Cricetulus griseus: one gene and its partners. The protein of the gene in region 1 purifies or fractionates together with the protein of each later gene. This does not show direct contact. Links are inferred from orthologs where the notes say so. Each region holds a gene or a part of one and is shown on either strand. Other genes may lie near its edges.

Evidence for each region. The genes of interacting proteins can lie anywhere in the genome.
Region 2: the proteins of Rfc5 (region 1) and Rfc1 purify together in Homo sapiens (co-immunoprecipitation; 6 studies listed by BioGRID and IntAct, counting the BioPlex papers as one, with this or other methods). This does not show direct contact. The link is inferred for Cricetulus griseus from reciprocal best matches to the Homo sapiens genes RFC5 and RFC1.
Region 3: the proteins of Rfc5 (region 1) and Atad5 purify together in Homo sapiens (affinity purification with mass spectrometry; 4 studies listed by BioGRID and IntAct, counting the BioPlex papers as one, with this or other methods). This does not show direct contact. The link is inferred for Cricetulus griseus from reciprocal best matches to the Homo sapiens genes RFC5 and ATAD5.

Annotation. Positions count from the first base shown.
Region 1 is NC_048597.1:97,321,200-97,328,454, reverse strand, and holds the end of Rfc5 (replication factor C subunit 5), read left to right. Parts: intron 1-230; exon of another isoform or gene 231-304; coding exon 305-464; intron 465-1,063; coding exon 1,064-1,145; intron 1,146-1,433; coding exon 1,434-1,563; coding exon of another isoform or gene 1,564-1,628; intron 1,629-1,785; coding exon of another isoform or gene 1,786-1,815; exon of another isoform or gene 1,816-1,830; intron 1,831-2,040; coding exon of another isoform or gene 2,041-2,054; coding exon 2,055-2,132; intron 2,133-3,227; coding exon 3,228-3,282; intron 3,283-4,216; coding exon 4,217-4,313; 3' UTR 4,314-4,720; downstream 4,721-7,255. Other genes in the region: Wsb2 (WD repeat and SOCS box-containing protein 2), read right to left, coding at 6,657-6,819. UniProt on the Homo sapiens protein: Subunit of the replication factor C (RFC) complex which acts during elongation of primed DNA templates by DNA polymerases delta and epsilon, and is necessary for ATP-dependent loading of proliferating cell nuclear antigen (PCNA) onto primed DNA.
Region 2 is NW_023276807.1:132,327,545-132,334,878, forward strand, and holds part of Rfc1 (replication factor C subunit 1), read right to left. Parts: intron 7,274-7,334; coding exon 6,993-7,273; intron 4,676-6,992; coding exon 4,568-4,675; intron 2,405-4,567; coding exon 2,225-2,404; intron 1,649-2,224; coding exon 1,544-1,648; intron 1-1,543. UniProt on the Homo sapiens protein: Subunit of the replication factor C (RFC) complex which acts during elongation of primed DNA templates by DNA polymerases delta and epsilon, and is necessary for ATP-dependent loading of proliferating cell nuclear antigen (PCNA) onto primed DNA.
Region 3 is NC_048600.1:93,542,121-93,549,454, forward strand, and holds part of Atad5 (ATPase family AAA domain-containing protein 5), read left to right. Parts: intron 1-2,343; coding exon 2,344-4,244; intron 4,245-7,334. UniProt on the Homo sapiens protein: Has an important role in DNA replication and in maintaining genome integrity during replication stress.

The DNA.
Region 1 (7,255 bases):
AATGGTATGTTATGAACTTTGGAAGTGTATTGGAAAGTGGGGGGGGGGAGTTGACTCTTGGCAATAATCTCAGCACTCCAGAGGCTGAATCGGTTGGATCACCTGGAGTTTGAGGCCAGCCTGGGCTACAGAGTGAGATCTACCCAGGAAGGTGGTTGAGCTGGACCTGTTTGTTGCTCAACACCCAGTAACATTGTTTGCCCCGTAGGCAGCTAGCTTCCCGCTCTTACCTTGTTAAACCTTCCGAGGTCCCTCTGGACAGTCAGGGTGGAATCTGAGGTGAGGTGTTTGGTTTTCCTCCCAGTGATTGAGAAGTTCACAGAAAACACCAGGTTCTGCCTCATTTGTAACTATCTGTCCAAGATCATCCCTGCCTTGCAGTCCAGGTGCACAAGGTTCCGATTTGGCCCCCTGACGCCTGAACTCATGGTTCCTCGCCTGGAGCATGTAGTACAAGAGGAGAAGTGAGTTTGCTTTACAAGAAGGAAGGGGGAGGATCTTGGGGATTGAGTGGCATGAAGACTGGGCAGAGTGCCTAGTCCAAGGGGAAGCCTTCGGGACTGCTGGCTGCTGTCATTTTTCTGTGGGCCCTGGTCATTTTACCTCATGAGCCCCCCCCCCTTTTTTTTTTTTTTTGACAACTCACCTGCCATCCTGAAAGCTGTCCCCTCTGTGTCATGGGAACTGACTATTGCTAAGTCCCTTTTGTAGATGCTGCCAGCTGGCTGGAAGGGAAGGTTCTGAGACATCCATTCTGTCAGATGTAGAGCTGTAGCCTGTTTCTTTCCAGAGAAAGTCACTCACAGCAGCCACTTCCTTAGGGGCTTGGTCCACAGTTAAGACTCTGGGTGGGGCATGGCTACTCATGTGACACGTGTCCCTAAGCACTGCAGTAGCTTCTGGATGCTGTAGGTCAGGAAAGTGTTGTCACCTCTGTTCTGATGTTTTTCTTCCTTTAAAGCCCTAATCATTCAAGGCCATTTTGTTCCCCATAGTTGATGTTGTTTGTGCTCTTTTTGGGGGGTGGGGATGGGGTTTTAATTAACTCCTTTGCCTATTTTAGTGTTGATATAAGTGAAGATGGAATGAAGGCCCTCATCACTCTGTCCAGTGGGGATATGCGCAGGGCTCTGAACATTCTGCAGGTACGATCCCACTCTGGGCATATTAAACCATAGATTTGAAATAGCTTTACAAGACCGACAGACAGCCAATCCATACATTCATTCAGACATCTAGCACCAGTGAGACTCGCCTTGTTGTACACTAGTTTCTTGCCTGTGTGTTCCCCTAAGGGAGACTCAGAACTGCTGCAAGAGAGGCTGGGGGAGGATGCTGTGCAGCAGAGGGCAGCCCTTCCAGTGTGGAAAGTACAGTGACATGTCACTGCAGCAGGACAGCTGTTGACAGCCCCTGGGTCCTCCTGTCTGCAGAGTACCAACATGGCCTTTGGAAAGGTGACAGAAGAGACCGTGTACACCTGCACTGGGCACCCCCTAAAGACAGATATCGCCAACATTCTGGACTGGATGCTGAATCAAGACTTCACCACTGCCTACAGACGTATCCTTCCTTGTGGCTGCTGCCAGGCTCGGGCCCAGCCAGCACCTGCACCACCCAGGTGGAAGGTATCAGCTGGTAGACAGCAGGTGTCCCCAGGTGGAGAGTACCCTTCTCTTACTGAATGGCTCTGGCCTGTGAGAGGCCAAAAGTAGCTTCTCCCTTCAGTTAGGCCTTGGGTGGAGGAAGCAGTCATTAAAGGGGCCTCATTAACTTGTTTTGCAGGGAAATGAAAGGCTACAGATAACGGTGTGATCTTTTAAGGAGCCGTTTGTTCTGCTCTTTAAGAGACAGCTATGCTTCTTAGAAAAGCCTCATTGAAGATAAAACAGGACAAGTTAGAATTGGGCCTGTGTGCAGCTAGAAGTGGAGAGGTTTCTGTCTGTGCTGGGATGAAAAGCCCCACTTTGAAGTCACTCGCCAAGGGCTGGGGTTGAAGCCTCCCTGCAGCCTGTTCTGGAATGGTTTCCCTTCCCTTAGCTGCTCCTCCCTAGACATCATGGAGCTGAAGACTCTGAAGGGCTTGGCTCTGCATGACATCCTGACAGAGGTTCACTTGTTTGTGCACAGAGGTAACTGTGGTGGCCCATGGTGGGGAGGGGTGGGGAGGCATAGCTGTGGGATGGCTACAGAGGGTGTGAGGTTTTCATTCCTATGCAGAAACAGTGTCTGGCCCTTAATCTCCAGCAGCTCTGACTTGCTGTTAAAACTTTGCTCCAAACCCTTCCTAGTGACTGGAGCTGCTGGGTGAGTGAGTAGAAATAGGGGAACTCTATTTCCTCAAGGGAACATCTTAGAGCAGCAAGTGCTGTATTTTACTTTTCACTCTTGTTACATGTCCCCCACACTAGGGATTGAAGCCAAGCCCTTGTACATGCCTGTATACACATGACCTACTACTTCTGGGCTATGTCCACAGACCTCATTTTGGGGATCTGCACGCAGGGCTGTGGCATCCTAAAGCTGCTCTCTAGCCCATGAATCACATTTCCAGGATTGCCTCCCTCAAAGGGGAGATCTGCAAGCAGATCTTCCTTTAAGTTCCCTGCTTTCTGCCTTGTTCCGGGGATCAATCTCTGGTTGGGCCATACCTGCCAGTCACCCCAGATAATGCAGTCAGCATGGGGTGGGGGTAGGGAGAACCACATGCAAGCTTTTAGAAGAGGCTCTCCAGGGAACCCCTCCATATAGCCTTTTGGAAGCTTTTCTTGAGACAGCAGCCTCCTTCAAATGGAGAGGCTCCATCTGGCAACCAGTACAAAGTGTGCTTAAGTTTGGCTTCCTAGTTACTATGTAGCTGTCACCCACCATGGACAGTATTGACTTGTCTGTATTCTTATGATCACTGTACTAGGGGATGAGTACTGTGTGTGATTGAGTGTTCTTGTTTGTTTTTGGTGATGCAGATGATGGAATTTATCTTCTAATGTATGCTAGCCAGCAGTCTTCCACTGAGCCACACCCCAAAACAAAAATCACAAAATAGCCTATAGCCTATGGGTCCTATACCTTCCTTAGCCTATTGGTCTGGTGGCCTGTCATGGGCCTGGGGCTCAACCCTGTCAGAAGCCCCGTGTGTGATGCTTAAGCCTGACCTTTCCTCTGGTTTTATTTGTTTTATACCAATAAGTGACAGGCCTTACTCACTTGATTTTGTTTTTCCCCAGTTGACTTTCCATCTTCGGTTCGGATACATTTATTAACCAAAATGGCAGACATTGAGTGAGTGTTTTCCCGGTTTTAATTCTTTGGATGTCCCCTCTTCTGTTGTAAGCTTTTTAGTTTCAGCTTGTGTGGCTTCGGCTTGTGTGTCATTCAGAAACGGGCGATTTGGTTTGAGGTAGTGCCAAGTAGAATGTGGTGAAGGCTGTGCCCTGCCTGCAGAACACAGGGAAGTAGTACAGAGGGCAAGCACAGCTCAGTCCCATGTCTGAACAAGAGGGTCCCTTCAGTCCTCCAAGCTTTAGCCCATGGCTCTGCTTCAGGTGGGGTATGCAGGTCATTTGGGGGTGCCCAGCTACCCTGCTTATTAAGGCATTGTGGTATATAGGAAGGAGCACAGTGGAGGAAAAGCAAACAAGCTCAATTTTCCACTTTGCTCAGCTCAGTAAACACTGTCATTAGTCCCTAGTAACACTGGTAGCTGTCATTTAAGTGGACAGCACACTGGGCCCTGACCGAATGTCACTATCACCAGCTCCAGCAGGCTGTAACTGGCTCATGTAGACAAATTGGGTCATTTTCTATCACTACGTTGGGAGTGATTTTGCTTTCGGTGGCTAGGCATTTAGGAGTGACAAGATGATGCCAGTGCCCTGCTTTACTGCCTAAACCACAAACCTCCAGCTCCCTTCCCAAGTCCTCCTATCACAGTTTGTAAGCCCTCATCACACACCCTGCGGTCTGTGGAGGGTGAAGTGGGTGGAATTTAGAACCTGATGGTTCTGGGTTTTCAGTCTGTCCTCGGCATCGTCAATCAGATGGCTGAGTTGAGTGTTTGGGCAAGAGACTGTTGGAGGACACGGACAGGAGTGCTATCCAGAGTAGGTATATCAGCTCTGGCTCCCCTTGGCAGGCCACAGCAGCTCTCACGTTCTCGAGCTCACAGGTGGGGGCCTTGTATGCTTTATTCTCAACCTGGGGTTGGTGTCTTCAGGTATAGACTCTCCGTCGGCACCAGTGAGAAGATACAGCTGAGCTCCCTCATCGCTGCTTTTCAAGTCACCAGAGACCTGATCGTCTCAGAGGCCTAGCAGATCCAAGGCCTGATGGCCCTGCCTCAGGCCCATTGGTGACTAGAGGACAGAGGACTTGCTTACCGGTATAGTACTACTGCCCTGTGCCACTGAATAAAGCCGGTCACAGAAGTCTCTCCCCAGGTATTTGGGCAGTGTTATCTGTGGCTGTTTGGAGCCGGGATCTACAGAGCAACTTTAATCTGTAACTATCCACGATGCTTGTCTTTTGTAGGGGAAAATAATTCTTTGGCGGGGGGGGGGGGGGGGAGGCTCTAAAGTCTTTACTGTCAGTTGCTGGGGTGACAATATTGGCCTTACCTCAGTTATGTCTGCATTGTAATGTTCAAGTTGAACACGATTCAGGTGTTGTTCAGCTCAAGGTCTGCATCTCCGATGTTAAACTTTCTCACTTTTGTATCTGCTTTAAATGGGTGCTAGTGAGTTTCTGATCAAAACTGTTCTAATGTGGTAGCACACCTATAATCTCAGAATTCAGGAGGCTGAGGCAGAATTACCAGCCACTTGCATGCCAGCCTAGTGAGATAAATCCAACCAGAAACAAAACACCCGTCTTTCTCTCTCTTTGAAGGCTTCCCAGCAGGTTCCAAATTCTACTGTGACAATAGCAAAGAAACTGTCAAATACAGTTAGCCTTCAGACTGTGCCTTTGTGGGCTAGTAGCTGTGCAGGCCTCACTTGTTGGGGAGGGATGGGATGCTGTAGGTACTCCTTCCTGTGCAGCTGGGCTGTGCTTACATCAGTCCTCCACAGTAAGCACAATAAGGTGCTTGCTCATGCCTGCTGGCCTGCCCACCTACATTCCTATCAAGGCCTTTGTCACTAGTGTCACAGAATAAGCTCTCCTTGGAGGCTGTTCCTTAGAAAGCTGTCAAACTGTTGCCTATAGGTCTCTGTACAATGATAGAGAAACATGTGCATTCCCTGAGCTAGACAAGGGGCTGTGCACAGCTATAGATACTGGAGGGCACCTGGTGCGCCATGACCAACCTGCTGTTTCTTAGATTAGCTGTGTAAGATGCATCTGAGGTGAAGACACTTTCAGCACAATGGACCTTGAAGTTGAGCGTATGCGTCTAAGTGAGAAATCTGTTTTCTTGCCCATAAACAACTTGCTCCCCAAGTTTCCCAGTGGAGCTCAAAGCTGTGGCCAAGTGGTCAGGGGTGGAGGCAACATCTCAGCCACATGGCTGAACTGCCTACTAGTGTCCCGTTCTCCTTTGTGGTGTTTGGAAAAAAAGGAACGGAGACAAGTTTTCTTGTTCTCTTTTCTCCCTTCAATGAAAGCCTCGTTTTGCAATGTTTTCTTCAAATGATAGAGGAGACTCTTTGCACACACTGTACACTGTTAACACTGCCCCTTAAAGCATCAATTAAGAAAAGCCAAAGAGTAAGGTGTTGTTTCTTTTAAAATAATTTAAAATATATTAACTTTCCTAAGGCAGATTTTGTGTGAGTGAGGCATCTTGAATAGGTAGCTGTTGCTGCCGGTGAAGAGCGGTGCTCGGAAGGGGCTGTCTGTTTAGGGCAGTTGGAATTGGAGGGTGAATCCCATGAGGTCAAGCAGTAGAGACAAACACACGCACATGACAGCATGAGCCAGTGACAATACTGACTTCACACAACTAAGACATGGCTTCACAACTGGGCCACTTAAGAACTCTTGGTTTTTAAAGACCACTGAGAAAACACAGTTGTACCTTAATATCTGCTGAGAAAATACAAATAAATATGATGCTGATAAATGGACATCTGACCGTCATGCAGTTGAGGACACCTCCTCATATGATCTGATGTACTTGTTTGTCATTTCCTACACATGCACACCACTGTTTAAAGAAAAATAAAAGCCAGTATTGGTGTATTGGTGAGGAGCACAGCCCAGTCCACCTGCAGCTTAGTAACATAACTTAGTTCCATAGGACTGTCCTGGCCAGAAGCATGTGCCAAATATGAATGTTCCTCTGACCAGAGCAGAGGAACTTCAAACCATGCAGTCACTGACTGGAAACGGGCAGCAGGTACTACGCTGCATGGCAGGCACTTCCCAGTGAAGGGAGTGTGGAGTTGGCCACCACCACACAGGCTCTGGAGCCTGCTTGCTTTTATTACCCAGACAACATCCACAACTGCACCTGGCTTCAAGACAACTAGACCAACAAAGGCTGCTCACAATGGACAACGACGAGGTAAGGCTGGCACTGCACAAGTGGCATCACTCAGACCTACTTGCATGTGCCAGTGGGGTAAAGGTCCACAGCAGGTCCAGTGTGATCTGGTGGCTCCACCCTAGCCAGTCCCTTGCATTGCTTCTGCTATAGGAGTCGGGATGCCGGGCTGCTAGAAAGTCCTGTACGTGAGGAACTCTTTCATCTTCTTGGGGATTGGCAGTGCTAGGACTTGGTACGTGGTCAGGAAACTTCGAAGGGCTTTTCTGCATAAATGCTTCAGTGAGGACAGGACACGGGGGGCTGTCCAGAACTGAACGTGACCATCTCTCGTCCTGAAACAACAGAAAAACCAATCCTTAGCAGGCCCTAGGGAGTTTTCCCAGTAGTGGTTGTCCCAGTTTGACCAGAAATAGGAGACTCCAGAAGCTGAAGTGCACTCTTGACTGGGAAGGGTTATAAATTGCTCAATAATGACTACTCCATAGGATTATGGGGATGTGACCCATGCCTATGGTCCCAACTGCTATATAAGACTAAAGCAGGATGAGAGCCTGAATCAGGTATTCAAGGCTAGCCTGGGCAATAGAGTGAGACTGTCCAAAAATAGGAAAATGCCTTTGATGACAAGAGCCATCTGTCAGCACAGCCCTCCTACACACTAACTCAAAGGGAAAAGTGCTGGGGGATACAGCGGAGTGCTTGCCTAGCAGAAGATGGCCCTGGGCTCCCACAATAACAGACAGTGCCGATACCAATTACAGACCACAC
Region 2 (7,334 bases), on another chromosome or scaffold:
TGCCTTCCAGTAATGCTAGAACTTATGAATGACCATTTAAGAGAAGACATTTTTGAAGATTCAAAATAACTATCCACTCAAGAAGACCAGCAGACTATCTCAACCAAGTTAACAAGATTTATCAATGTCATGTACATGAGACACACTAAAAGGGACACAGTATAACCCTGTGGTATTCATGACAAACTGGGTAACACAATCTAATTGTGAGAAATGTAACACAATGCCATGATAGACATTCTACAAACAACTAACCAGGATAAAATAAGGAAAGACAGAACTACCCTAGGCTGGAGGAGGCTGAGACAGCACAAGTCAATGTAGTGCAGGAACCTGGAGCAGAGAAAAGGTGCAGTGTGGTGAACAAACACTGTAGCTAACCATGAAGCAGCAACATTCATTCCCTACTTATTGCAACTTGACCATGGTTACATCATCCCCTGGGACTTTTCTATTGGAATAAACTGGGCAGACCATCTTGTCACACTGGTGGTGGTACAAGGGACAATAATCTTGGCATCCAGGCACTCCTGTGTCCTGCATGTGGACACACAGATAGATAGTGGAATCAATGTGACAGCACTGGGAGGCGCAAACACAGAAAATGGAAGGGTTCAGAAGGATGGACCAAGTTCATCCTGCCCCCAGCTTAGATGTGAGTCAACTCTTTCTTCTTTTTTTCTCCCCTTTGTTGAAAGCCAACAGAGACTAGTTTCTATCATAATTGAAAAATTCCTAATAAAGTTTCACTAAAGATACTAATAAACTCCTCTTTAAAAAACAAAGAATAGAAAACAAAACTTTCAGGCAGGGCCATGTAAAGTCTACAAGAATACAGAATATGGACTGAAGACATGACTCAGCAATTAAGAGCACTTACTTCTCTTGCAGAGGAGCCCAAGTTCAGCTCCCAGAACCCATATTAGGTGGTTTACAACTGCCCAGAACTCTAGTTCTAGAGAAAGATGCCCTCTTATAGCCTCTGTGGACACCACATTCAAGAGCATGCATACACCCCCACCCCCCACCCCCCCCCCCACACACACACAATTTAAAAACTGAGGCCAGGTGTGGTGGCACATGCCTTTAATCCCAGCATTTCAGAGGTAGAGGCATTCAGATCTCTGAGTCTGAGGCCAGTCTGCTCTACATATCAAGTTCCTTACCAGCCAAGGCTAAGTAAATTTTTTAACCTTGAAATATATATGTGTGTGTGTGTGTGTGTGTGTGTGTGTGTGTGTGTGTATGTATGTATGCATGTATGTATGTTATGAGATGTATATATATATATGGACAATAAGGATGAGAAGGTAGGTTACACACAACACACTATATGTTACACTCCCTCTCTCCTCCCCTGAAAAGTAAAGAAACACCAAAGACATGCTGAGACAGTCTTCCAGGTCAAAAAGAAAGAAGGTGAATTTACTTGTTTTACACAGGAGTTTGATTTTCTAGCCAAAAGTACTGTCTATTGTGCATCTCTATCAAACAGGAGGCTTCTAATACCAACTTCAATAAACCAGGTTTGTCTTATACACACCTCAGCTTCAGCAGCTATTTCATACTTGGATTTCTTGCCTGGCATAGTTCGAATCAGATCCAACAGACCATCTTCATCAAGGATTTTTGTTCCCAAAGCTGTTGCCTGTTGATTAAAATACAAGTCATCAGAGCTCCATATAAACTACTTGTTGTTGGAGAGGAAATTTTACTTTAAGGCTTACTAGCAGATGAATCACCACACTGTAAATTAACACTAGAATTTATTTTTAATTATTTTTAAGATTTTGCCAGGCAGTGGCAGTGCATGCCTTTAATTCCCAGCACTCAAGAAGCAGAGACAGGAGGATTTCTGTGAGTTCGAGGCCAGCCTGGTCTCCAGAGCGAGTGCCAGGATAGGCTCCAAAGCGACACAGAGAAACCCTGTCTCGAAAAACCAAAACACAAAACAAAACAAAAACCTGTATGTTTCTATGTTAACAATATTTTTAAAACTAGAATACACAAAGAAAATCAAGTAAATAGCAACGATGCTTCCAATTAAACAAACCAAAATCTGTAGTCACAACCAAAAACACACATACGGTATGTGAAGAAGACAAAACTACAGGGTGAAGGCGTTCTTTCTCTTCTTTTTTAACTGTAATGTGGCCAGGAGCATTACCACAAACAGCCACACTGGCAGGCAGGTACTACTGTGAAGAGCGCCAGCAGGACCCACCTTGTCACTCTTGGACTGTCCGCTATCCCGGCCCATAACGAGATAGTTGGTTTTCTTGCTCACATTTCCTGTTACTTTGCCCCCATAACGTTCAATTAGAGACTTGGCTTCTTCCCGTTCAATGGACTCCAGCACGCCTGTGATCACAAATGTCAGTCCTTCCAAGCAATTTTCAGCTCCCTAAAAACCAAAATGTTCAAGCAGAGAAGAAATTACAAGGTAGCTTTCCAAAGAAATATAGCTGAACAAGCTGACTTGACATCATAAATAATGATGAATAAAGACCCCAGCATGAAACCTAGATAGAAATTACAGCAGAACCTCAAAGTAAATCCTGATGAATTCCTACATAGCTAACATTTAACACATACCAAATGAATGAGGAAAAACATACTGTTACCAAAATTAAAATTACCCATTCATGCAATTCTCCACTTTTCATATTTAAATCAGTAATTTGCTTTCATAGCTTCAAGTAAACAATCAAATGTAATCTGCCCACTGACAAGCCCACTGTTGTTAAAGTACAGCTTGGGTTCTGGAAAGCCTATCAAGTTGGAGCGTTTATCATTCTCTGATCATTACCCGACTGAGAGTGAACCTAAGAAACTGCTAGAAGCATAGAACAAAGATAACTGGCCATCTAAGAGCTGACCGGGCTTCTCTTCTTAAGTCTGAACTACAACTCCGTACAGTTATAGATTTTCAAAATTTTTATAACATCAACTAAATTATACAAACAAAATGGTCATTCTACATGATATGCCCTGCTCCTTATTACTCTGTGAATAGCACTGAGATTTTAAAAAAAGTTAAAGAAAACTGGAAGCATATTCCAGCGTAAGCTGATCATTCCTCTGCCACATAAAGAACCTTTCTTAGAACAAAGGAGGAAAGAATAGTTATTATTTACTGAGAAAGAAAGGGGAAAATGGCTAACAGCTTCTCTTCAGTCCTTCCATTTCTAGGAGTGAAATGAACTATTAAATCTTCACAACAGACTCCAAGTCACCCTGGAGAACTCCACATCAAGAAGCTCCTCCTTTCAAACCCCAAACTACTGTCTCCCTAGTGCTCTCCCACTAGAGCTCACAATATCATGTTACTGACCCAAGCTCAGCCTCACCAGCGTCCTTACCATCTCATCCATTAGACTCCTCTACAGCTCTGACTCCAGGAAACTCCTGGCAGCCTCTTCAACATTCCCTCACAGCCTTGCTGTCACAAAAACACAGCAGTCCCGTAGGGACACCATTTGCCCTAAAGTCCTCCAACAGGCACTTACTTGTTCAGTCTCTCAGCGTTACACCCTATACAGGAGGCAAGGCTGATCTCTTCTTCCAGCCCCTTTCCCTTCCCTCTAGCTACCTACCCTTTCTTCTTAGGGGAACTTCTAATCGCCTTATGTAGCAAAGTGAAAATTAAATTTAAATGTCTACCAAATTTATCTCCTAGATTCTCAGAAGCCCCATGGCACAGTTAATTATCCTTCCCTTGGGGAGGGTCTACTCCATCAGCAAGAAACACGTCTTAAGTACACCTCCAACCTTAAAAACATTCACCTCTTCCCTTAAATCCCACTCTTCATTTCTATTTCACAACCAAACTTATCAAAAACACGTCTCCATTTGTCACCTCAGACTCTTGAAGCCACTGCATCAGTTGTCTCTACTGTTCTTGCTGGGGCCATTAAGGACCATCACTCACGTTACTAAATACAATGGACAAGTCTGAGTCTTCTCATTGTTGCAACTTTCACAACATAGCAGATCATACCACTCAATCACCTTTCTTGCCTGCACTTCTCCTATACCACTCACATCAGACTTCTTTCTCACATCTGGGCTGCTACTTGTCAATCCCACTTTGGTTTTCACCCCCATCTTTATATAGAGGCTATGATAAGGCTCTCTTTTCTACAATTCCTAACAGTAGCAACAAAAAGTTTTATGTTGGGGTCACCACAAGAGTAACTGTATTAAAGGGTCACAGCATTAGGAAGGTTGAGAACCACTGATCTAAATGATCCACCCAGGATCATCCATGTTTCTCTACTATACTCTCTAAGAGCACCTAGGACTTTTCTCTCACAGCACGGTACTACAATCACTATCAGATATTAATGCATTTACCATGCTTTTCCTTAAGCTCTGAGTCCATGAAGGCATGGAAAAGCACATCCCTTCTCAGGCTACTTATTATTTAAAGGACACCAGTGAGTCACAATGTAAATAAGAACTTCTAATTCATAAAAAGGTAGCTGAGACCTTTCTGTTAATACTGGCTCTTTGCTGGAACAGGAGGCAGAGTAGCACAGAGTAGCACAATCCTCGTGACTCTTACCTTGGGTATTTCTTTGGAGCCCAGAGCTTTGGGACCTTCACGATTTAAGTAGCTTCGATAAGCTTGATAATTAGTACGCTTCTTTTCAGAATCTTCTGGACTTACAGACTTTGGACACAGGGAAAGAAAAAAAAGTCATGTAAAATTAAGATGTACCTAGAAAGAATTACATTTAATTTAGATGGATGGATGTGGATGGATGGATGGGTAGGTAGACAGACAGATATAAATGGAGATACATGTATGTGTGTGTATGTATGTATGCATGTATTTCTGATTCAGAGATACTGGATGTATCTAGCACGTGTATATTGGGGAGGGTCCCCTAGATAACTTTTAGAACTACTACATTATTTTTCCAATTCCTACTTTATATTGCTTTTAACTTAAATGTAACTCCAAATCTCTTAAAGTAGACAAAATATTCATTTGCATAAATAAGTGATATGATCAATAAGATAGTTAAGCTGGTTTTGAGTTAAACCAACTACTGCAGCTGATCTTAGAATCCAAGCCTTTTGCTGTTGTTGCTGAGACAGGGTCTCACTGTGAAGCCCTGACTGGCCTGGAACTTACTATGTAAACCAGGCTGGCCTTGAACTCAAGAGATCTACCTATGTTTGCCTCCTGAGTGCTGATATTAGTGGCATATACCATCACATCTGGCCCCAACCCTACTTAACAATGGCTCTCACCCACTAAAAAAAGTCCTTATCAAAATACAGCTGCCTAGACCATGTGCCCTGGGAAGCCATATTTTTAACAACCATATACAACTGGGAGCGTCACTCATTTGTAGTCGCAATTCTTTTTTTTTTTTTTTTTTTTTTTATTTCTTTATTATGTGCACAGTATTCTGCTTACATGTATGTCTGCATGCCAGAAGAGGGCACCAGATCTCATTATAGTTGGCTGTGAGCCACCATGTGGTTGCTGGGAATTGAACTCAGGACCTCTGGAAGAGCAAGCAGTGCTCTGAATCTCTGAGCCATCTCTTCAGCCCCCTGTAGCAGTAATTCTATCTTGTAAAAATGTGAAATAACTTTGGACTTTCTGCATGCCTACCTGCCTTGTTGTTTGTTCTGTGACAGGTCTCACTACGTAGCTGAAGCTGACCTTAAACTATCAATCCTCCTTCCTCGGCTTCCCAAGTCCTGGGATTACAGGTATGCACCACAACTGGCTATAAAACACCTGAAGCATATTCACTTACTATGTCAGAATTACTTGACTAAGATCAACTGAATTTACTAAACTCTAATGTTCCTACGTACGGGTTCTGAGTTACTGAGTCCAGCTTTGAAAACACCATAAAAATAACAGTATCACTTTTTTAAAACTTTTATCTCCTCCTCCCCCAAAATAGTCACCCTCTGTAAACTTCCCCATGTACTTAGTATGCCTGAAGAAATACCTTTCCACCAGATAAGTATTTAGTGAAGAAAAATCTGAGGGCAAAAAGTTAACTGATACTTCAAGCAAAAGCTAAAATTCAGATAGCAATTGTTACATCCCAGGCACTGCTCTAAATGGTTGTATAAATCATTAAACACATTTTAAAATTTTTTTATTACATTTACTTCGTGTGTGTGTGTGTGTGTGTGTGTGTGTGTGTGTGTGTGTGTGTGTGTGTGTGTGTCTGCGCGTGCGCGCGCGTGCACTACAACATGTGTGGAGGTCAGAGAACAAACTGTGGAAGACAGTTCTCTCCTTCTACCATGTAGGTCTCAGGAACAGAACTCAGGTATAGGATCCTTACCCATGAGTCATCTCGTTGGTGCCCAAGGCATCATCTTATGTCTATTCTACATCCACACAGAGATGTAACCAAATCAGGATCACGTATCTGTTCAGCAGTAGAGCTGTGATCTAAACCTGGCTCCAGACTGCTTGAAGGCTCAATGTTCACACTGCTACTCTGTCTTCAGAGAGTCAAGACTAGTCACAGATAATCTTGGGAAAGTTACTTAAACTCAACCTGTTTCTTCATCTTTACTACTTAAATAATAAAAGTAAATATCTCAAAGGTGAAGGCTATGGGATGTATGAATATGAGCACAGTTTCCCATATACAACAGCAATGAATAGTGGATCATTTCGCTATGTTAATAATGAATGTTCTCTAAGAGACTTAAAAGATATGTCTTCTGGGATCAAACACAGGGGCTCAAATATTTTAGGCAAGCACTTAGCTATACCCCCAGCTTCAAATTATATTTATTTTATTGTTGTTTTTTTTTTTCACATCCCAAAGTTTCCCCTCCCTCCCCTCTTCCCCAAATTATGTGTGTGTGTGTGTGTGTGTGTGTGTGTGTGTGTGTGTGTGTGTGTGTGTGTGTGTGTGTGTATAAATGTAGGAAGTTGAAAACAATCAAACTCAAACCAACATTTTTCCCAAAATACATACTTTTCATAAATTTCCTACCTCTTTTTTAACTGGAGAACTTTTGGTTTTTTTAGGAGTCTGTTTCTCTCCTTTGAGTTCAATGGTGTTTTCTTTTCTTTTTGAGGCCATCTGCTCTGTGTCTTTGTAAGAACTTTCTTCTTTTGCTTTCATAAGTGCCAGCTTGGAGCTGGCCTTGGGAGAAGAACAGGCTTCCTTCTGATGAGCTAACGATCTGGAGGGATGCTCAGATCCTTTAGAGTTCCCGCCTTTGCTGCACTTAGCAGGGCTGTGGGTCTTTCTTTCATTTAAGAAATGTTCTGCTTTTACAAAGAAAAGATTATGATTGCTATTTGGGCACTATTACCCAGCATCAACATTTTT
Region 3 (7,334 bases), on another chromosome or scaffold:
TCACTGTAGCCCTCCTGCTTCAGCTTCCAAGGTACTGGGACTATAGTATGAGTCACCATGCCCTGCTTTTGTTTATACTTAAAACATACAATACACATAGAAACTAAATGAGAAATAATATCCTTCTAAAGGTAAGCTTAGATATTGTAATCTAGTAAATTCAGAACAGTAAGATACTTCCTTACTCTGGTTGATCCGTATCATTCACAGATAGTCAAGAAGACAAATGTAGATCACAGAAAATCAGACCAGTTAATTTGTTCTGTGCTACCCTACCTGTTTCACAGTTCAAATCCCCTGTGCTCTAAGGTAAACCCATGAAACCTTTAGAAGAAACATATACAGCCAAAAATGGGATCACAGTTGTTAGTGAGCCAGTAGCTGGATGAATCCTAGTCATACTCAAGATGCATCAAAAGTCTATTTGCTCTAGGGATTTAGAGAATAGAGCTAAATCTATGTGCTGATCCATGTTCAAGTAGAGTCTACTTCTAGAAGTTGGTTACTTTTTCTAGTTATGTCATTGATTTTTTTCTTTCAAACAGTGTCTCATGTAGCCTTGACTATCTTCAAACTCACTAAATTCACCTTGAGCTTCTGATGCTCCTGCCTCTATCTCCTCAGTGATGTGGTTTCAAGCACGTGCCATCATGCTTGGTTTTACGTAGTGGTGGGAATCAAATCCAGGATTGTGCGTACCTAGGCAGTTATTCTCAGCCTTAGTTACAACAATGAAAATTATGTTTTTCTTGATAGTATCACCTGGTTCATGATTGTCCACCTTGAGTCTTATGCTCTTTTCCTAGCAGGCAGTGCCTTGCCCAGTCTTCGTCAGCCATACCTGGGCTCATTGTGATTTCTGTTTAGCCTGGATGCAAGTATCCTTGCTGACTGAGAATGTCTAACACTAAGGAATGTCCTTAGTGTTATAATCTCCTTGATTCTGTGAGGGTAATGGCTACTGCAGGAGGTAGGCAGTGACTTGTAGTAGCAAATTAAAACAGTAGACTTGTGACAAGTGTTCTTTTGTTGGTTCTGTGCTTCTTAAATAAATAACTATTTCTTACAAATACTTAGAATGATGTGTTTATTTTTAACCAAAAAAGTAAAGCAGAAAGGATTGTTTGTAACCCTACCCTGTGTTAGGTTCCACATATTTTAATGTATTCAGTATAGAGTCTGTGAGGTAGATAGTGCTATTCTAAGGTTATAGAGGGTAGGTAGGGCATGGTGATTCACACCATTAGTCTCAGCATTTGGGAGGTAGAGACAGGCAGATCTCTTAAGTTCAAGGACAACCTGTTCTATATAGTGAGTTCCAGGACAGCCGGGGCTATATAGAAAGATACTGTCTCAAAAACACAAAATAAAGTAAAATAATCAGAGAATAGTAGAAATTTGTTTTCTTATGAGTTTAGTTTTGTTTCAATATGAATTTTTTGTTTTGTTTTATTTGAACTAGAGTCTCACTATATAGTCCCTGGCCTGGAGCTTGCTATGTAGACCAGGCTGTCCTCAAAACTCATAGAGATCTGCCAGTCTCAAGATTCCTGAGTGCTGATCAGTATAAGCTTTGTTGTTTTTTGTTCATTTGTTTTTGAGGCAGGGTCTGACTACCAGTCCAGTAGCCTGACTGGCCTGGAACTTTCTCTGTTGACCAAGTTGGCCTCCAACTCACAGAGATCTTCCTGCTTCTGACTTCTAAATACTGAGATTAATGGCATAAACCACCACACCTAGCAATATAAACTTTTTATTGAAGTATAGTACATACACATGTGGTATAAAGTATAAAAATTACATATATAACTTGATATAACATTAAAATTTGAATGTAGGTTTAACATTAAAGGTAATTTTTTTCTAATGTATAATTTTTCACCTAAAGTAGCCTTCCTGAGCTGGGTAGATAATTCAGTGGGTAAGAATGCTTCCATGTACAAGTATAATGACCTGAGTTCAAATCTCCAGCAAGTCATCTATGGTGGCTGTACAGGCCTATAAATCCAGTGTTGCAGGTAAGCAAAGTCAGGAGGATTGTTGGGACCTGCTGGCCACCAAGCTAGCTCCAGGTATAATGAGAGAACCTACAAGAGAATAAGGTTAAAGTGATAGATCAGGACACCTGACATCCTTCTCCAGCCTCTGCATGCATCCTTATATACACGTGTGTGCATATATCACACACATCTTGTATGTATACACACAAAGTAGCCATTTGAAGTTTTTCTATCCATTTATTTGAACTGTGAAATCTGTATTTATAGTTAATAGTTCATATTATTTTACTTGAAATAAATGTGTTTTTCCCTTCCTTTTTTTTTTTTTTTTTTAAATTGTTAGCCATGTAAAAAGCGGAGAAAAGATGATGACAGCTCTTCCTGTGAAACAATTACCAAATATTTATCACCAATAGAGAAGACTGGAGACAAAGTCTTCTCTCCACCAAAACCTAGTAATATTCTTCATTATTTTAGAAAGACTTCACCCACAGATGAGAAGCTACAATCGACAAAGGAGTGCAAGATAAAGCCATCTCCCTCGTTGCTTGTTGGCAATAGCAAAGAGTGTAAGACACCTTTGGAAGTGCTCTCAAATACAGAATTTAAGAAAAAAGGAAAGAGAGTTAATTTATCTCATCAACTGAATGACATTAAAATTGAATCTGCAGTTGGAATTAGTAGTGGTGATAGTAAGGAGGACTGTGATTTAAGTGATTTTGTGGAAAGCAGGACTGATGTTTTCCTTTACAAGAAACATGTAGAGGTTCTTGAAGAAAGCAGTCAAGACAGCAGAACCCAGCCCAATACAATGACTTCCAAAAAAAATTCCCAGAAAGGAAATCCTAAACAAGGCACCTCAAAAAATGATGGCAAAAGATTGAGAAAAAGAAAGCACAGCAAGGTACTAGATCTGTCTGAAAGTTTACCCTTGACAGACGAAATAAGTCTGCCTAAGAAAGGTGGCAAGGACGGTAAACAGACTAAACCCTCCCAGGCCGATGAAAACGAGAGGACTGCAAATCATGTAGACTCCAGGGCTTGTGCAACCAAAATAGCTGATCTAAACAAGAGTACAATAACTGTCTCCTATGAGGAATTTTTAAAAAGTCACAAGGCAGCTAGAGTGGAAGAGATGCCTGACCCTGTAGTGCCAGCTTGTGTTACTTCTGGACCTGATGAAGCTGTCAAAAGTGGTTCTGAAGGTGAATTAGAAAGCTGTGAATTATCTCCACAGGTACACCTTAAGACAGTCACTGTTCTTGCACAAGTTCACCCGACTCCCCCTAAAAAGAAAGGGAAAATACCCTCAATATTTTTGAAACAGAAGCAGCTTGAGCTGGAGAGTAGCTTCTCTGACCCAGAGAATGAGCAGACAGTTCAGAAAAGAAAATCGAATGTTGTGATCCCGGAGGGCCAGTTAGAACTGGCAGTGCTGGAAGCTGGGAGCTCTGAAGTTTCAGTACCAAAATGCAGCGTGGAAGAGAGACAGCAGTTCATGAGAGCATTCAGACAGCCACCATCAGAATTGCTCAAAAATGGGCTCAAGAAACCTGTGGAGAAGCAGAAAGACCCAAGTGAAAAATCTGTAAATGAAGAAGGTGTTAACAGTTCTGAAAAAATCATAGACAATCCTAATATCCAAATAGTTTCAAAGCATGGCAGTTCACAGTCACACACTGATAAAGCAAGTTTTCCTAACGAGAAAAGTAAAAAACCAAAGAAAAAGGGTAAGAAAATGATAGGCACTAGGACAGTCCCAGGTGGAAATGGAGAAGAAAGCATGGAAAAGGAAGAAACATCCTTTTCCTCAAAAGATAAACAAAACCAAAATAGCCTTCGAAGGAGTTTAAGGCAGAAGTCTGAAGTTTTCAAAAGCAATTCAATACTTAGCAGTGAAAGTCTGGTTTGTGAGGATATAGCACATGATTCTTTAAAAAAGTCTCTGTGTGACAGAAATAAATCAAGAAAACACAGCACACCAATCAGGGATATGGTTACACATTCCAAAGCTGAGCCTGAAAACAGACTGGTAAACGTTTCCACACCCAAATCAACCAGGAGATCTCTAAGAGGCAGCAGCATGCCTGCCACAGTCACCTGTAGAGGTTCTGAGTCTGAGGATGCCCAGGACACTAGTCCAGTGAAAGCTTCCACTCCAAAAGCAGCCAGCATGTCAGAAAAACACAGCCTGTACACAGCGGAATTAATAATAATACCCTCTGATTCGGAGAGCCCCATTAGGTAAAGTTTTGTTTTTCTTCTCAAGTTGGAACATTCTACATGCATTGTTAATTGGGAAGGGGAATTCTTCAAGCATTGTAGAGTTCATTTATTTTCTAAAATACAGTTTATTTATGTGTGTGTTTTTTATGTGTATACAACCCCAAGGACTGAACCTCATAGGTAAGTAGTCTACCACCAAGCTAAGACTCCATCCTCATTTCATCCTGAGACAAGGTCTCCTAGGTTGCCCAGGATGGTTAAACATGCTCTCTCTCTCTCTCTCTGTACTCTTCCAAGTAACTGGGATGACAGATCTGTACCACCAAACCTGGCTTTTGTTTGGTTTATTTTTGTTTTTCAAGATAGAGTTTCTCTAGCTGGGTGGTGGTGGCCCTTGTCTTTAATCCCAGCACTGAGGAGGCAGAGGCAGTCGGATTTCTGTGAGTTTGAGACCAGCCTGGTCTACAAAAGCTAGTTCCAGGACAGCCTCCAAAGCCACAGAGAAACCCTGTCTCGGGGGGGGGGGGGGGGAAAGACAGAGTTTCTCTGTGTAGCCTTAGTTGTCTTGGAAGTACTCTATAGACCAGGCTGGCCTCGAACTCAAAGAACTCAAAGAAATCTGCCTGCCTCTGCCTCCTGAGTACTGGGATTAAAGGCCTATACCACCACTGCCCAGCTAGTACTAAACTCTTGTTTTTTTTTTGTTGTTGTTCTGTTTTATTGGTTTTTCGAGACAGGGATTCTCTGTGTAGCTTTGAAGCCTCTCTTGGAACTCACTCTGTAGACCAGGCTGGCCTTGAACTCACAGAGATCCACCTGCCTCTGCCTCCAGAGTGCTGGGATTAATGGCGTTTGCCCACCGACACCCGGCTATTGCTAAATTCTTGTTTGTCATATTAATAGCCCTCAAATATGAGTGCATCAAATATGAGATTAAAAATAAATCATAAGAGCATTTTTTTATTGTTGGTTTGAAACAGGGATTCTCTATATAGCCTTGGCTGTCCTGGAACTCTATGTAGACCAGTCTGACCTCCAACTCAAAGATAACCATTCCTCTGTGTCTTTGGTACTGAGATTAAAGTCATGTTCCATCCTGCCCAGCTGAGTGTTATTCCTTAGTACATGATGGAGTATATTCCTGGATACTGGGCCTATCTGATGGTATAGTGATCCAGGGACAAGTTTTAATTTTCTTCAAGAAGTATTATTTTTCTCTGTTTATTTGCTTTTGCTGTGCTGAGTGGGGTTAAACTCAGGGCCTTGCTCATGCTAGGCAGGTAGGTTTATCTTCCCTCCTTTCTTTTCTTTTCCTCCTTCCATCCTCTTTTTTTGTTTTTTAAGACAGGGTCTTCCTTGGATAGCTTAGAACTTTCTATAGAGACTAGAGGGTATCATGAGTGATCCTCCTGCCTCTGCTTCTCAACTGCTTGGATTATGGATGTGCATCACTGTAGTTGAACCTTTTCTTTAGGACTGCCAGCCCCCAATAATGACACAGAGACTTATTATTAATTATGAAAGCTTGGCTGTTAGCTTAGGCTTTTCCCACTAGCTCTTAAAACTTAAATTAACCCATTTCTATTTATCTGTGTGGTGCACGTCTTTAGTCCCAGCACTCGGGAGTCAGAGGCAGGAGGATTTCTGTGAGTTTGAGACCAGCCTGGTCTACAAGAGCTAGTTCCAGGACAGCCTCCAAAGCTGCAGAGAAACCCTGTCTCAAAAACAACAACAAAAAGATTTTACTTACTATTTTTATATTATTTATTTTTTCTATGACTATTTGTATTTTATTTTTAAGCACATTGTTAAATATACTGTAACCTGTTTAGAGGTTTTCCCTGTCTGAACCCTTTTTATTACATATCTGTAACCTTTCTGTCTGCATCAGCAAAAACTTAAACTCACCATGTGGGGCTCATGGGGCACTGGTGGCTCAAGCACTCAGGCAGCTGCTGGGAGTAGCTTTCTGTACCATGGCCAGCATTAGAGACAGGAGATTGAGAAGCTGAATTAGACTGTTTTTGTATTTAGAACCGCTCCCGGGTGGGGGGGGGGGACGGACTGGGCGCCAACTCAGAGATGACCTATAGTCCGTGATGGTAAGACTTCTTTATTCAGATAAACACCAGAGCAAAACGCAATCCAGAGCGAGCTCACAGGAACCAAGCTCGTGGCCAGAGAGAAGGGGCCAAGGTCTCCACGTGCAGCCCTTAAGAACCTTCCCTTAAGTCACCCCGGCTTCCCTTCACCCCGCCCAGGGTCCACCTGGCACCTGTCCGTCTTGCCATTGGGCGGGGCTAGGGTGTCTACACACACACAGGGTGTCCAGGGTCCACCTGGCACCTGTCCGTCTTGCCATTGGGCGGGGCTAGGGTGTCTACACACACAGGGTGTCTACACACACACACACACACACACACACACACACACACACACACAGGGTGTCTACACACACACACACACACACACACACACACACACACACACGTTGAATGCCATTTGTAGTTGGTTGGACCTTTTTGTCAGGACTGCCAGATAATGACACAGAGACTTATTAATTATAAAAACTTGGTTGATAGCTTAGGCTTGCTAGCTCTTATAACTTAATCCATTTCTCTTTACCTATGTGTTGCCACATGACTCTCGGGCATTTAACTGTCCTCCCGCATGTCTTGCTCCCACTCTGCCTGGCTGGTGACTTCCCACATCTCCACCCTTTTTCCCAGCATCCTTTCTGCCCTGAAAATCCTGCCAAGCTATTGGCTGTTCAGCTTTTTAGTAAACCAATGCAAGTGACAAATTTCACAGTGTGTGAAAAGATTATTTCACAACATATCACCACACCTGTATAAGGCTTATTATTTGGGGGTGGGGCATTGAGAATGGGTTTTTTTGTGAAGGCTTGGCTGTCCTGGAACTTACTTACTCTGTAGACCAGACTGGCTTTGAAGTCAAAAGATTGCCTGCCTCTGTCTTCCAAGACTGGGATTAAAGTCATGTGGCCCTATCGCCTGGCAAGACTTACTGGTTTTAATTTTTTGCAAGCAAGCAAGATTTTATTGAAAAGTAAGCTCTCCACAGCAGGGAGCGGTCCTAAAAATGTGT